Linked DNA regions of Anolis sagrei. The protein of the gene in region 1 interacts with the protein of each later gene in a pairwise test. Links are inferred from orthologs where the notes say so. Each region holds a gene or a part of one and is shown on either strand. Other genes may lie near its edges.

What was found. The genes of interacting proteins can lie anywhere in the genome.
Region 2: the proteins of AP3D1 (region 1) and VAMP7 interact in a two-hybrid assay, tested with the Homo sapiens proteins (2 studies listed by BioGRID and IntAct). The link is inferred for Anolis sagrei from reciprocal best matches to the Homo sapiens genes AP3D1 and VAMP7.

The regions. Positions count from the first base shown.
Region 1 is NC_090034.1:51,490,104-51,497,484, reverse strand, and holds the start of AP3D1 (AP-3 complex subunit delta-1), read left to right. Parts: upstream 1-4,309; 5' UTR 4,310-4,544; coding exon 4,545-4,640; intron 4,641-7,381. UniProt on the Homo sapiens protein: Part of the AP-3 complex, an adaptor-related complex which is not clathrin-associated. The complex is associated with the Golgi region as well as more peripheral structures.
Region 2 is NC_090030.1:14,746,692-14,754,158, forward strand, and holds the start of VAMP7 (vesicle-associated membrane protein 7), read right to left. Parts: upstream 3,108-7,467; 5' UTR 2,994-3,107; intron 2,940-2,993; exon of another isoform or gene 2,830-2,939; intron 1-2,829. Other genes in the region: DNA-directed RNA polymerases I and III subunit RPAC2-like, read left to right, coding at 3,216-3,260. UniProt on the Homo sapiens protein: Involved in the targeting and/or fusion of transport vesicles to their target membrane during transport of proteins from the early endosome to the lysosome. Required for heterotypic fusion of late endosomes with lysosomes and homotypic lysosomal fusion.

The DNA.
Region 1 (7,381 bases):
GCCACACTATCACAGGATGTCTACGCCCTACACTGCTGTAGGAATTATACTGTTTAGCTGGTTTTGCATCACCTGACAACTGTCAGAAAGTAGCAGACTGTAATGAAAGGACCAAGGCAGTGACATCTCCGGCCCATCCTCTGTTTGGATATTAGCCAGCACACCAGCCACTTAAATCAAGAAATAGCTTCCTAATATCGAGAGAGATATTCTCGATACTCTCGTGGCTGTTGCATGTTCCAGAGTAGGCAAACCTGACAATCTCCACATCAACACTGACAAAGAAACAACAAGAAATACTGTTTTCCCACAAGCATAAAGAAATTACAAATGCGTGACCATATTTCTGTGTACGAACCCACACAATCTCTTCGATCATCTGGAAAGGCCCTGCTCACACTCCTACCTCCTTCGCAGACGCGATTGGTGGGGACGAGAGAGAGGACCTTCTCGGTGGTGGCCCCCCGACTCTGGAACTCGCTTCCCAAGGACATCAGGCATGCCCCAACTCTGGCAGTCTTTAGGAGGAGCCTGAAAACGTGGCTGTTCCAGTGTGCCTTCCCAGAATAGGGAAAACTCTCAGCATTATGTCCTCAAAATGCACTTTACTACTGCTTTAGGATTGACTGCATTCCCTCATTCTCTCTAAAAATCCTATCCCAATTATATCCTACCTGGTTCACATCAGCACTATTTTTTTAATTTTAATCTATCACATTTGGCCTGGCCATTGGTTTTAAATGTTTATATGTTACTGTTGACTGCTTATTGTTTATTTTGTTTATGTGATTATGATTTATATTGCATTGATTGTTTATTGATGTTTTATTTTATTGGTGTTCTGTTTATTGATGTATTGCGGGCTTGCCCTCATATAAGCCGCACCGAGTCCCTTGGGGAGATGGTAGCGGGGTACAAATAAAGTGTTGTTATTATTATTATTATTATTATTATTATTATAAAACTTTCAGCAATATGCCCTCAGAATGCACTTTACTACTGGTCAGGATTGACTGCGTTCCCTCATCTCTCTTTGAAAACCCTATACCAGTTATATCTGACCTTGTTCATGCCCAGCGTTTATTTTTTAATTTTTAAACCATTACATTTGGTCCGGCCATAGGTTTTTAAAATTTTGTGTGTTACTGTTTATTGGTTATTGTTTATATGTGATTTATATTAATTGTATTGTATTTTCTGCTTTGTTTATTGTTGTTGTTTATTGATGTATGGTTGGGCTTGGCCTCATGTAAGCCGCTCCGAGTCCCTTGGGGAGATGGGAAGTTTTATTATTATTATTATTTTATTATTATTATTAGAAACCAACACTTTCTCATTACTTTATTTTCCAGATCACCAGACTGGGCCACAGCAACGTGTGTCAGGGGACAACTAGTGATTTTTTTTTGGTCGTGTTAGGAGCAAGTCGCTTCTGGTGTGAGAGAATTGGCCGTCTGCAAGGATGTTGCCCAGGGGACGCCTGGATGATTTGATGTTTTTATCATCCTTGTGGGAGGCTTCTCTCATGTCCCCGCATGAAGAGCTGGAGCTGATAGAGGGAGCTCATCCACCTCTCCCCGGATTCGAACCTGCGACATGTTGGTCTTCAGTCCTGCCGGCACAGGGGTTTAACCCACTGTGCCACCGGGGGCTCCAGCTAGTGATAAATAAATAAGTACTGTTTTTGTGCTTGTTGTTGTTGTTCATTCGTTCAGTCGTCTCCGACTCTTCGTGACCTCATGGACCAGCCCACGACAGAGCTCCCTGTCGGCCGTCAACACCCCCAGCTCCTTCAAGGTCGGTCCAGTCACTTCAAGGATGCCATCCATCCATCTTGCCCTAGGTCGGCCCCTCTTCCTTTTGCCTTCCACTTTCCCCAGCATAATTGTCATCTCTAGGCTTTGCTATCTCCTCATGATGTGGCCAAAGTACTTCAACTTTGTCTCTAGTATCTTTCCCTCCAGTGAGCAGTCGGGCTTTATTTCCTGGAGGATGGACTGGTTGGATCTTCTCGCAGTCCAAGGCACTCTCAGCACTTTCCTCCAGCACCACAGTTCAAAAGCATCGATCTTCCTTCGCTCAGCCTTCCCTAAGGTCCAGCTCTCACATCCGTAGGTTACTACAGGGAATACCATGGCTTTGACTAGGCGGATCTTTGTTGCCAGTCTGATGTCTCTACTCTTCACTATTTTATTGAGATTGGACATTGCTCTCCTCCCAAAAAGTAAGCGTCTTCTGATTTCCTGGCCACAATCTGCGTCTGCAGTAATATTAGCGCCTAGAAATACAAAGTCTGTCATGGCCTCCACATTTTCTCCCTCTATTTCCCAGTTGTCAATCATTCTTGTTGCCATAATCTTGGTTTTTTTGACATTTAGCTGCAACCCGGCTTTTGCGCTTTCTTCTTTCACCTTGATTAGAAGGCTCCTCAGCTCCTCCTCGCTTTCGGCCATCAGAGTGGTGTCATCTGCATATCTGAGGTTGTTAATGTTTCTTCCAGCAATTTTCACCCCAGCTTTGCATTCATCAAGCCCCGCACATCGCATGATGTGTTCTGCATACACGTTAAAAAGGTTGGGTGAGAGGATGCAGCCTTGCCGTACGCCTTTCCCAATCTTGAACCAGTCTGTTGTTCCGTGGTCAGTTCTGACTGTTGCTACTTGGTCCTTGTACAGCAGTGTTTCTCAACCTGGGAGTCGGGACCCCTGAGGGGGTCGCGAAGGGTTGTCAGAGGGGTCGCCAAAGACTATAAGAAAAACAGTATTTTCTGATGGTCATGGGGATTCCATGTGGGAAGTTTGAGCCAATTCTATCATTGGTGGAGTTCAGAATGTTCTTTGATTGTAATGAACTATAAATCCCAGCAACTACAACTCCCAGATTACAAAATCAATCCTCCCCCAACCCCACTAGCATTCACATTTGGGTGTATTGGGTATTTGTGCCCAGTTTGGCCCAGTAAATGAAAATGCATCCTGCATATCAGATATTTACATTATGATTTATAACAGTAGTAAAATGACTGTTATGAAGTAGCAATGAAAACAATATTATATTAAACATACATCAAGGGAACCACTGATCGCATAGGGAAGCTGATGAGGAAACACAACATACAAACAATCTACAAACCCACCAAGAAAATCCAACAAATGCTACGTTCAGCAAAGGACAAGAGGGATCCTCTTACCTCTGCAGGAGTCTACCGTATACCATGCAGCTGTGGACAAGTCTACATAGGGATCACCAAACGCAGCATTGCCCAGACACGCATCAAGGAACATGAAAGGCACTGCAGACTACTTCAACCAGAGAAGTCAGCCATAGCAGAGCACCTGATGAACCAGCCTGGACACAGCATATTATTTGAGAACACAGAAATGTTGGACCACTCTCACAACCACCATGTCAGGCTACACAGAGAAGCCATTGAAATCCACAAGCACGTGGACAATTTCAACAGAAAGGAAGAGACCATGAAAATGAACAAAATCTGGCTACCAGTATTAAAAAACTCTAAAATTATAACAGCTAAACAACAGAGAGGAAAAAACCAGGCACAGATTAACACCTCCCAGCAACAGATTTTCCCAGGCTCAAGCAGGCCTTCAAATGCTAATGAAGGTGATCAGCTAAACATTCACACCTAACTGCAGCAGGGAAGAGCTCCTTGCCCCACCCCAGCCATTCCACAGATATATAAACCCATTTTCCTACTTCCAACAGACCTCACAACCTCTAAGGATGCTTGCCATAGATGCAGGCGAAACGTCAGGAGAAATGCCTCTAGAACATGGCTCTATAGCCCGAAAAAACCCACAAGAACCTAGTAAAACAATATTATGGTTGGGGGTCACCACAACATGAAGGACTGTATTAAGGGGTCATGGCATTAGGAAGGTTGAGAACCACTGTTGTACAGATTCCTCAGGAGAGAGACAAGGTGGCTTGGTATGTTTTCGTGCTGATGGGCAACAAAAGGGGGCTTGGCTTTCAACAGGGCGCCGCCTCCATGCTGTCATTGGTGGGCATATAAGGGGGCGTGGCGTACTGACGGTGAATATTGAAAAGCCAGGAACCACCTTCGTGATGACGTCAGCCGGCATCAAAAGGGGGCGTGGCTCTCAGCTTCCATTCGGGCGCGGCCTGTGTGCTGACGTTGGTGAGGCTAAAAGAGGGCGGGGCTTCCAGCAGTCGCCGCCTGCGTGCTAATCCTAGTTAGTATGAAGTGGGCGGGGCTTCCAGCCGGCGCTCTTGCGTGCTGACGCCGTCGCGCAAAAAGGGGGCGCGGCTTGAGTTTCCTCTTCTCAGCTGACTCTTCGCCATTTTGCCATTTTAATTGCCTCAGAGAAGCGGCGCCGGAGGGGCAGGAAAGAAGGGACTGGAGGCGGCCGCCGCCCCGGGATGGGAGCGCGCCTTTAAGGCCGAGGACTGCCTTCTCGCCGCCGGTGTTGCTGGAAGCAGCCTTTCCCCACCCGCCTCGAGTCCAGCGGCGGCTTTCCTCTCCTCCTTCTTCTCCTTCTCCTCCTCCTCCTTCCGCCGCCATGGCTCTGAAGATGGTCAAAGGCAGCATCGACCGCATGTTTGACAAGAACCTGCAGGACCTCGTGAGGGGCATCCGCAACCACAAGGAGGACGAGGTGAGCTCCCGCCGCCTCATCTTGGAGTGTCATCTTTCCCCTTCTCAATGCGTTTAGATTCTTTGGAGCCATTCCTTTTGATTTTGTATCTATCTTTTACCATTAGTCTAGTTGTTCACTGTGTATTAATGGTTTATTATATTATTTAGAATAAATCTAATCTAATTCTTTACCATTTATATTTGTTGTATCCATTGCTTCCTAATTTCATCTATTGTTATATTATTTATTTTTGCTACATTGTTTATTTCAAATTATTTGTTATTTATATGCATTTATGTGCAGTGTTTTGTATTTTTATCTATTACTAGCCATCCCCTGCCACGCGTTGCTGTGGCCCACATATGGGTCCTGTGTGGGAGATATGGCCAAATTCTATTGTTGGTGGGGTTCGGAATGCTCCTTGATTGTAGGTGAACTATAAATCCCAGCAACTACAACTCCCAAATGTCAAGATTCTATTTTCCTCAAACTCCATCAGTGTTCACATTTGGACATATTGAGTATTCATGCCAAGTTTGGTCCAGATCCATCATTGTTCGAGTCCACAGTGATCTCTGGATGTAGGTGAACTACAAATCCAAAACTCAAGGTCAATGCCCACCAAACGCTTCCAGTATTTTCTGTTGGTCATGGGAGAACTGTGTGCCAAGTTTGGTTCAATTCCATCATTGGTAGGGTTCAGAATGCTCTTTGATTGTAGGTGAACTATAAATCCCAGGAACTACAACTCCCAAATGACAAAATCAATTTTTTTAGTGAAGGACATACATTGGGTTGTTAGGTGTCTTGTGTCCAAATTTGGTGTCAATTTGTCCAGTGGTTTTTGAGTTCTGTTAATCCCACAAACAAACATAACATTTTTATTTATATAGATACCGTAATTATTCGTATTATATTTGTTCACTATTACCGTTTATATTATTTATAAAACTTCTTAACTATTATTTATTTATATTATTGATATCAGTTGCTTTTTTATCTACGCATTTTTATTACTGTTTAATATATTGTTTGGAATACTCATCATTTATTCTTTATAATTTATTTATATTGCATTATATTCTCTATTTATTAATAATTAATGATTAAGGATTCTTATATTATTTATAATGTTCGTTATCTATTCATTGTAATTTATTAATATTATTTATATGTATTGCGTACTAATTTATCTATAATTATATTTGTTCACTATTAATGTTTATTATTTGGAATATTGGTTATCTTGTATTGTGTGTTTATTATGCATTGTTTTAGGCACACTCTGCCATCTGTAAGCCGCCCCGAGTCCCTTTGGAGAGATGGAGGCGGGGAACAAAAAAAAAGTTATTATTTATTTATTTATTTGCAATTTATTAATATAATATTTGTATCGACAGTATTGATTTTTTATCTTATTTCTTTATTTCGTAACTGTTTCTTAATATTTATTATATTTTGTTTTTATCTATATGTTTACAATTTATTGTTTATATTATTTATAATATCTATTATTTGAAATTTATTTATATTCCTTGTATCCATTGCTTTTTATTTTATTTATTCACTATTTATATTTATCTTTATTATCTTTTAAGCTATTTATTAATGTCCATTATATTTATATTTGTTATTTAGTATTAACACTTTGTTTATATTATTTATATCCATTGCTTTTTATTTGTGTCGATCAATTTAATATTATATTTGTTCATTGCTAATATTTGTTATATTAGTTATTGATTTATTTATGATTTCTTATTAGTATTTGCTTCTCTTTTTATTTTTATTTTTTTAGTCACTGTATATACTCCAGTATAAGCCTATTTTTTCAGCCCCTTTTTTAGGCTGAAATAGTTCCCCTCGGCTTATACTCGAGTCAAGGTTATTTATTATTTTACTCTGTTATTAGTATTATTTTTATTACATTTATTATTTTACTCTATTATTATTATTACACTTACATTATTTTCCTCTATTATTATTTTATTACATTTATTATTTTATTCTATTTATTATTATTATTGCTTTTATTATTTTACTCTATTATTGTTATTATTGCTTTTATTACTTTATTATTACCAATATTATTACATTTCTATTATTTACTCTATTATTATTTTTATTTCATGTTATTGCATTTATTATTCTACTCTATCATTATTAGTAATAGGTAAGCACATTTGCATTGAAGGAGGTTAGAATAATGGTTTAATCAGATTTGGGCAGTCTTATCTTAAATTACAGTTGTATGTAAATACTCAAAAACATTTAACCTACTGATGATTACCAGTACAAGCTAAATTTCTCACTCTCAGCTTATACTCAAGTCAATACGTTTTTGCAGTTTTTTGTGGTAAAATTAGGTGCCTCGACTTATATTCGGGTCAGCTTATATTCAAGTATATATGGTATATATATATATATATATATATACACACACACATATATATACATACACACATACACATAAACACACATATCCTCCCATCTATATTACTATGGGTCTCTTATAGCTATTATTTACTTTTTATGTATTTGTGGCCTATATTTATATGTATTGCTTTGTCCGTTTTTACTAAACTGACTATGTACTTATTAATCTGCTCTATTTGTTGTTTATTTACATTTGTTGCTTTTTACCTGTTTATATTTTCAGCTCTTCTATTTATTATGCATATAATGTGTATGGGTCAGCTTTATTTGTCCTTTATTATCTATATCTCATATTTCAGGTCACTCAGAGGTTGGCACCTTTG
Region 2 (7,467 bases), on another chromosome or scaffold:
GTAAGAAAGTTTCTTAAAGGGCAAGGAATCTTAGCTTCCTATTATGCCTCTTGCTTCTTGTATAAAACTATTCAAGAAAGCAGAAGTGTATTAATGCAATCCTAGCCACATAGTTTGCCAAAGGGAAAATCGGTTGCTCCTTGCCCAAGTTGCTCCATCCAGAAAAGGCTTTTTAAAAACCTTCTTAGCTTATACTACGGTACTAATTATTTATTGTCTACTCACATTACTTCCATTTTATATCCCCTTCAGGCGCTAACCTTACACAAAAGAATAGTCACTGTGACTTTTCAAATGTAATCTCTTCAAGACATTATGTTCTAGGATGGCACTTTATTTTGTCAAAGAAGATTAAAAGATACAGGTCTTTCTGCAGCACAGGAGGATGAGAATGGTCCTCCTGTGCTGTTGCGCAGACTTCGCAAAGTATGTAGTAATCACATCAGGGCTTTTTCTCCAAATGTTCTGTGAACCTTCCATACAGACACCTAAAATCTTGCCTTACAATGTTAACTGGTTTTAATCGCTGATTGAGTCAACTACGTGACCCACTGTGTTTGTGCACTTAATACAAGGGTATCTTTTGTTTTCTCTGCTGAAGAATCAGCAGAGAAAAGCTTTTGTTTTACTGCAATGTTTTTGAAACACCAAATAGATATGAGAACCTATTAGTATGTAAGGTAAAAGCCATCCCTGGGTTCCATTTGAGGTTCTATGGTTGATGTCTGCTAGAAGTTGATCAAAGAATTGTACTCGAAGAGCTAGAGATTTCTAGAGAGAAACATCAAATATAATCCATGAACAATCAAATCTGCAAAAGTCAAAACCACCAAGGGCCCCATCACACTAGCCTTTAAGGACTGCAATTTCATAGGACATTAAGGGAAACATATCCTAAAGGCACTAGAGTCTGTCTGATCTTGGAAGCGGAATGGTTATGATCTAGAAGGGAGACTGCCAAGCACTACAGATGAAATCACCTCTGATCACTCCTTGTCTGAGAACTCCTCAAGAAATCTATGGGGTGGTCATAAATTGACAGTTGATACACATTCAGAGAGCTACAGCACTTTTCCAAATTACAAATCCAAGGATGATACATACTGCATCCTAGGAAGACAACTGCCCGGAGTCCCCTTGGAAAGAGGGGGCTGTCTAGAAATAAAGCATTATTGTAATTACTGTTACTATTATATCCCAGGGCAAAAAGTATGCACCCTGAGGCAGGATAATATGAATCTACACTACCGCACAATCCAGTTCAAAGCAGACAATCTGGATACAGAAACTGGATTATATGGCAGTGGAGATGAGACCCACAAGAGCATTAAAGAGGAGGAAGCAGAGACAAGTGTTATCCTCTTCAAGAAAAAAGGAGAAGCAACATTAAGAAAAGCGCTGAGAAAGAAAGGCTGGGAAGCTTGACCAGGGCCCTTTCCACACAGCTGTATAAAATCCACATTGAACTGGATTATATATATGGCAGTGTGGACTCAGGGCCCTTCCATACAGCCATATAATCCAGAATATCAAGGCAAAAGATCCCACCAAATTTCCTTTGAATTGGGATATCTGAGTCCACACTTCCATCTATTCCAATTCAAAGCAGATAATGTGGGATTTTATTCAGTTGTGTGGAAGGAGCCTCGGTTATATTGGGAGTCCATACTGCCATATATCCCAGTTCAAAGCAGAAAATGTCAGATTTTATTCAACTGTGTGGAAGAGGCCTCAGATAACCCACTTCAAAGAAGATATTGTGGTATTATCTGCTTTGATATTCTCGGTTATATGGCTGTGTGGTAGGCCTGCGTCTATGCTAGTATATAATCCAATTCAAAGCAGATATTGTGGGATTATCTGCCTTGATATTCTGGGTTATATGGCTGTGTGGTAGGCCTACGTCTATACTAATATATAATCCAATTCAAAACAGATATTGTGGGATTATCTGCTTTGATATTCATGGTTATATGGCTGTGTGGTAGGCCTACGTCTATGCTAGTATATAATCCAATTCAAAGCAAATATTGTGGGATTATCTGCTTTGATATTCTCGGTTATATGGCTGTGTGGTAGACCTACGTCTATACTAGTATATAATCCAATTCAAAGCAGATATTGCAAGATTATCTGCCTTGATATTCTGGGTTATATGGCTGTGTGGTAGACCTACGTCTATACTAGTATATAATCCAATTCAAAGCAGATATTGTGGGATTATCTGCTTTTATATTCTCGGTTATATGGCTGTGTGGTAGGCATACGTCTATGCTAGTATATAATCCAATTCAAAGCAGATATTGTGGGGTGATCTGCCTTGATATTCTGGGTTATATGGCTGTGTGGTAGGCCTATGTCTATGCTAGTATATAATCAAATTCAAAGCAGATATTGTGGGATTATCTGCTTTGATATTCTGGGTTATATGGCTGTGTGGTAGGCCTATGTCTATACTAGTATATAATCCAATTCAAAGCAGATATTGTGGGATTATCTGCCTTGATATTCTGGGTTATATGGCTGTGTGGTAGGCCTACATCTATACTCGTATATAATCCAATTCAAAGCAGATATTGTGGGATTATCTGCCTTGATATTCTGGGTTATTTGCCTTGTGTGGTAGGCCTACATCTATACTCGTATATAATCCAATTCAAAGCAGATATATGGCTGTGTGGTAGGGGCCCGAGTCCACACTGCCATATAACCCAGTTCAAAGCAGATATTGTAGGATTTCCTGCATTAATATTCTGGGTTATATGGCTGTGTGGAAGGACACAATTGAGAAGGAAAGGAGGAAGGCTTCAGTCAGGCCTAACCCTTTACCTGAGGGTGGGGGCGTTGCTATAGCAACAGTGGCCTAGTCCGAGGCTTCACTACCACCAAGGAGGCAGGTCTCCTCCCTCAGCGGCAACCAAGCCTCCTATTTGGTGAGAACCGCCGTTCCGTCTCTTCCCCTCTCCTTCTCCCCGGCTTTTCCGCCTCCTCACCTGGCCAAGCGCCCGCCCGGACCCTCCAGGCCCCGTCCTGTAATCGACAAGCTTCCAGGACAAGCCAGCAGCGCGTGAGCTTCCGCCCCTGGCCGCAAAGGCTCCTGGGAAGCCGAGTTCGGACGCCGGGGAAAGACAGGAAGTGACGACAAGAGCGAGGCCGGAAAGCTGCCAGTAGACAACACAAACCGGAAGTGTTTCTCGTCTGTTTCTGAGGGAAAGATGGGCGAGGAAGAGGAGAAGAGGAAGCCCCCGTCTCTGCAGATGGTGAGGGAGGGCAGTGTGACTCCTGTCTTCACCTTTTAGTGATGTACAGTATCTACATGTGACTTTCCTTTCTCTGAACCATGCCTTCCATATCAGAATGTGTGTGTGTGCTGTCGCACGCTGGGCCTGTGATTAAGACTGTAGACAGGACATAAATTCTGTGTGCCCAACGGGACGCCGGGGCTGCCTCAGATTAAAGACCTTTGGATTTCCTTAAAACAGAGTCTTTGGATTGCTTAAAGGTTCAACAAAGTTCTTTATTAATGAAAACAAACAGGTACTTTAAGGCTTTCTTAACAGTCTATTGGCTCTCTCTCAGTCTTGTCCACAGGGAACAGGCACTATCTTCATAACTGTAACTAATGGGGAAATCCTTAACTTCTAATCTGGGCAGCCTGTCTTTGCCTCTGTTGGCGTGGAGACCCTGGCTTCCGCGAATGACCCTTACCAAGCAGAGCTTTGTAGACTTCCAGGGGAAAAGGAGTTCAGGTTTCTGTGATGGCTGACTGAAGTCCTTCAGCAAAGGAACTGTAGGGCTGTATAACCCCAGCCAAGCTGTGGGCTGTATATCTCCCCGGCCAAGCCGTAGAAGACGAAGCTTTCTACAGGAGCTCTTGGTATTATGTCCTGCATGAAAGGCATCTCTGTGTGGACTGACCCAAAAAGTCTCCTATACCCTCCAAAAACCCAAAAAGGGGCGGGACCAGGGAACCTAACTATAATTGACAGGTGGCTTGCCCTATGATTGCAGCCAAAGGAAGCCACCTATCTGCAGAGTCCCTGAAACTTAGGACTACAACAAACATTCAATGCAAAGCAAACAAAATTGGAGTTCCTGGTACAGTTGTACCTGCACAGTGTGTGTGTATCAGGCCTGGGCAAACTTGGGCACTCCAGGTGTTTTGGACTTCAGCTCCCAGTATTCCTCACAGCCTCAGGCTTAAGCGGCTGAGGGGGAAATGGAAGGGGCCTGAGGTTGTTAGGAATGCTGAGAGTTTATTTCTTTATTTCTTTATTTAGAACATTTAAATACCACCCTTCTCACCCCGAAGGGGTCTCAGAGCGGCTTACAAGATATATTTTCATACTATTATTAGCATAGTACAATATTAGTATTATATATTACTATATTGTACTATACCATTGTTCAAGTATTAGTATTATATATTACTATATTGTTCTATACCATGTTCAAGCTGGGTTTAGAAAAGGCAGAGGAACGAGAGACCAGATTGCCAATATCCGGATGCTGGATAATGGAGAAAGGCAGGGAGTTTCAGAAAAACATCTATTTTTGCTTCATTGACTACTCTAAAGCCTTTGACTGTGTGGATCATAATAAATTGTGGCAAGTTCTTGGTGGGATGGGCATACCAAGCCACCTTGTCTCTCTCCTGAGGAATCTGTACAAGGACCAAGGAGCAACAGTCAGAACTGACCATGGAACAACAGACTGGTTCAAGATTGGGAAAGGCGTACGGCAAGGCTGCGTACTCTCACCCAACCTTTTTAACTTGTATGCAGAACACATCATGCGATGTGCGGGGCTTGAGGAATGCAAAGCTGGGGTGAAAATTGCTGGAAGAAACATTAACAACCTCAGATATGCAGATGACACCACTTTGATGGCCGAAAGCGAGGAGCTGAGGAGCCTTCTATTCAAGGTGAAAGAAGAAAGCGCAAAAGCTGGATTGCAGCTAAACATAAAAAAAAACCAAGATCATGGCAACAAGAATGATTGACAACTGGAAAATAGAGGGAGAAAATGTGGAGGCCGTGACAGACTTTGTATTTCTAGGGGCAAAGATTACTGCAGATGCAGACTGTGGCCAGGAAATCAGAAGACGCTTACTTCTTGGGAGGAGAGCAATGTCCAGTCTCGATAGAATAGTAAAGAGTAGAGACATCAGACTGGCAACAAAGATCCACCTAGCCAAAGCCATGGTATTCCCTGTAGTAACCTACGGATGTGAGAGCTGGACCTTAGGGAAGGCTGAGTGAAGGAAGATCGATGCTTTTGAGCTGTGGTGTTGGAGGAAAGTTCTGAGAGTGCCTTGGACTGCGAGAAGATCCAACCAGTCCATCCTCCAGGAAATAAAGCCCGGCTGCTCACTGGAAGGAAGGATACTAGAGACAAAGTTGAAGTACTTTGGCCACATCATGAGGAGACAGCAAAGCCTAGAGAAGACAATGATGCTGGGGAAAGTGGAAGGCAAAAGGAAGAGGGGCCGACCAAGGGCAAGATGGATGGATGGCATCCTTGAAGTGACTGGACTGACCTTGAAGGAGCTGGGGGTGGTGACGGCCGACAGGGAGCTCTGGCGTGGGCTGGTCCATGAGGTCACGAAGAGTCGGAGACGACTGAACGAATGAACAATGTTTTAAGGGCACTGTTTCATTATCTGGGCAGAGGCTACAAGGGGGCGATAGAGAGAAAAGGATAGTCCATTTTATGGGAGTGGAGGGCCCCCCAACTGATGACATATGGAGGAGACAAAATGGAACTGTCCCCTGCCTCCCCCCTTCACTATGGCCCAGAGCGGCAGTTGGTGCTGGGGGGAGGGGTTCCTAACTGATCACATATGCAGGAGACAAGATGGAACTGTCCCCTTCCCCCCCCCCCATCTCTTCACTCTGGCCCAGAGCGGTAGTTGGTGCTGGGGGGAGGGGGTCCTCAACTGATCACATATGCAGGAGACAAGATGGAACTGTCCCCTGGAGTTGAAGTCCAAAACACCTGGCAGGTCCAGGTTTGCCCATGCCTGATAAACATGGTTGAACAGAAGCTCTCCGAAGCTTTAGATGTTTTTACAACTCTGAGGATTACCTGCGAAAGAGTCCCACTAGAGCATTGCAGCACACCCAAATACCTGGGAGTTACTCTGGACTTACAAGAAGCACTGGCAAAAAATGGGTGCTAGAAATATGCAGGTGGACCAAAAAGTTTTGCCTCCTGCATCATAAAAATGTTATAAATGAACATTTAACAGCAGAAGTTGCTCCAGATCATAGCCTGAACTGTCCTCTATCCAAACTATTATTCAGCATGGTCACCATCAATTTGTACACATTTGCACCAGAGATATACAGAAACCACATCCTTAGATGCTGCTGTATGCCAAAGATGTTATGTTAGCCGCCGAGTCATGGGTAGAGTTGCAGACTCAAGTGCAAGTGTGGAAAAATCATGTGCAATATTTCGGACTACAGCTTAACATCTCAAAAAAGTACATGGAATGTGGACCAACAGTAGAGGATGGCTCCATCAATATCAAGGGGACTGACCTCAACAAAGTGACCAGCTTTAAATCCCTCGGCTCAAAGATAACCTCTGCCTGCGAAGTACTGTCGGATGGTCACGGACATGTAAACTCCATATGGATGAAGTGGAGAGCAATGACAGATGTAATGTGTGATAAGAAGATCCCAATCCACCTAAAATTGAAAATCTACAGGACGGTGGTGAGACCAGTCGCTCTATACACCACTGAGTGTTGGCCAACCACTAAGGCAGTTGAACAAAGTCTGGTCACCTTCAATGGGTGTTAACCTGAAGGACAGGTTTCCAAACAATACAGTGCACTCCATCTTTGGCAGTTTAATAAACTTTTTGATAAATTGGATATGGCAGTGTTAACTCAGATAACCCAGTTCAAAGCAGATATTGTGAATTATCTGCCTTGATATTCTGGGTTATATCAGAAGCAGACAGAAGGTGGCAGCAGAACAGAGCAGCTGCTGAGACAGAAGACAGCCCGGAGCACCAGAGAAAAGGCAGAAAAATGTCTTGATGAAATTAATGACATACTATCAATTAATATACCTAAAATCCAAATATAGCACTTCTATTAAATTTTGGAGACATAAGATTGAAATGGCAGAATAAAGAATTAATAGTAATTTTTGTTATTGCTTTAAGATTAGAAAACTGTCTTGAGACCTGCCTTGAGAAGGGGACAAAGCTCAGGATTCCCACCCAAACAGCCTGAGCAATTGGCAAATTTGTGTTTTTTTTAATACATTATAACTTTATTCTCAATTTGCTTCTAACATGATAAATAAGTCTGAGCAGTATTTCTCATCCAATGCTGGCGGTTCATAGCTACTTAAGAAGGCCTGCATCCCATGCCATTGTTCAGCCATGAGTCCCCAGCCCTCCCCATTATTGTAGACACTGGGCTAAGAAGCTGTATCTCCATGAAAAGCA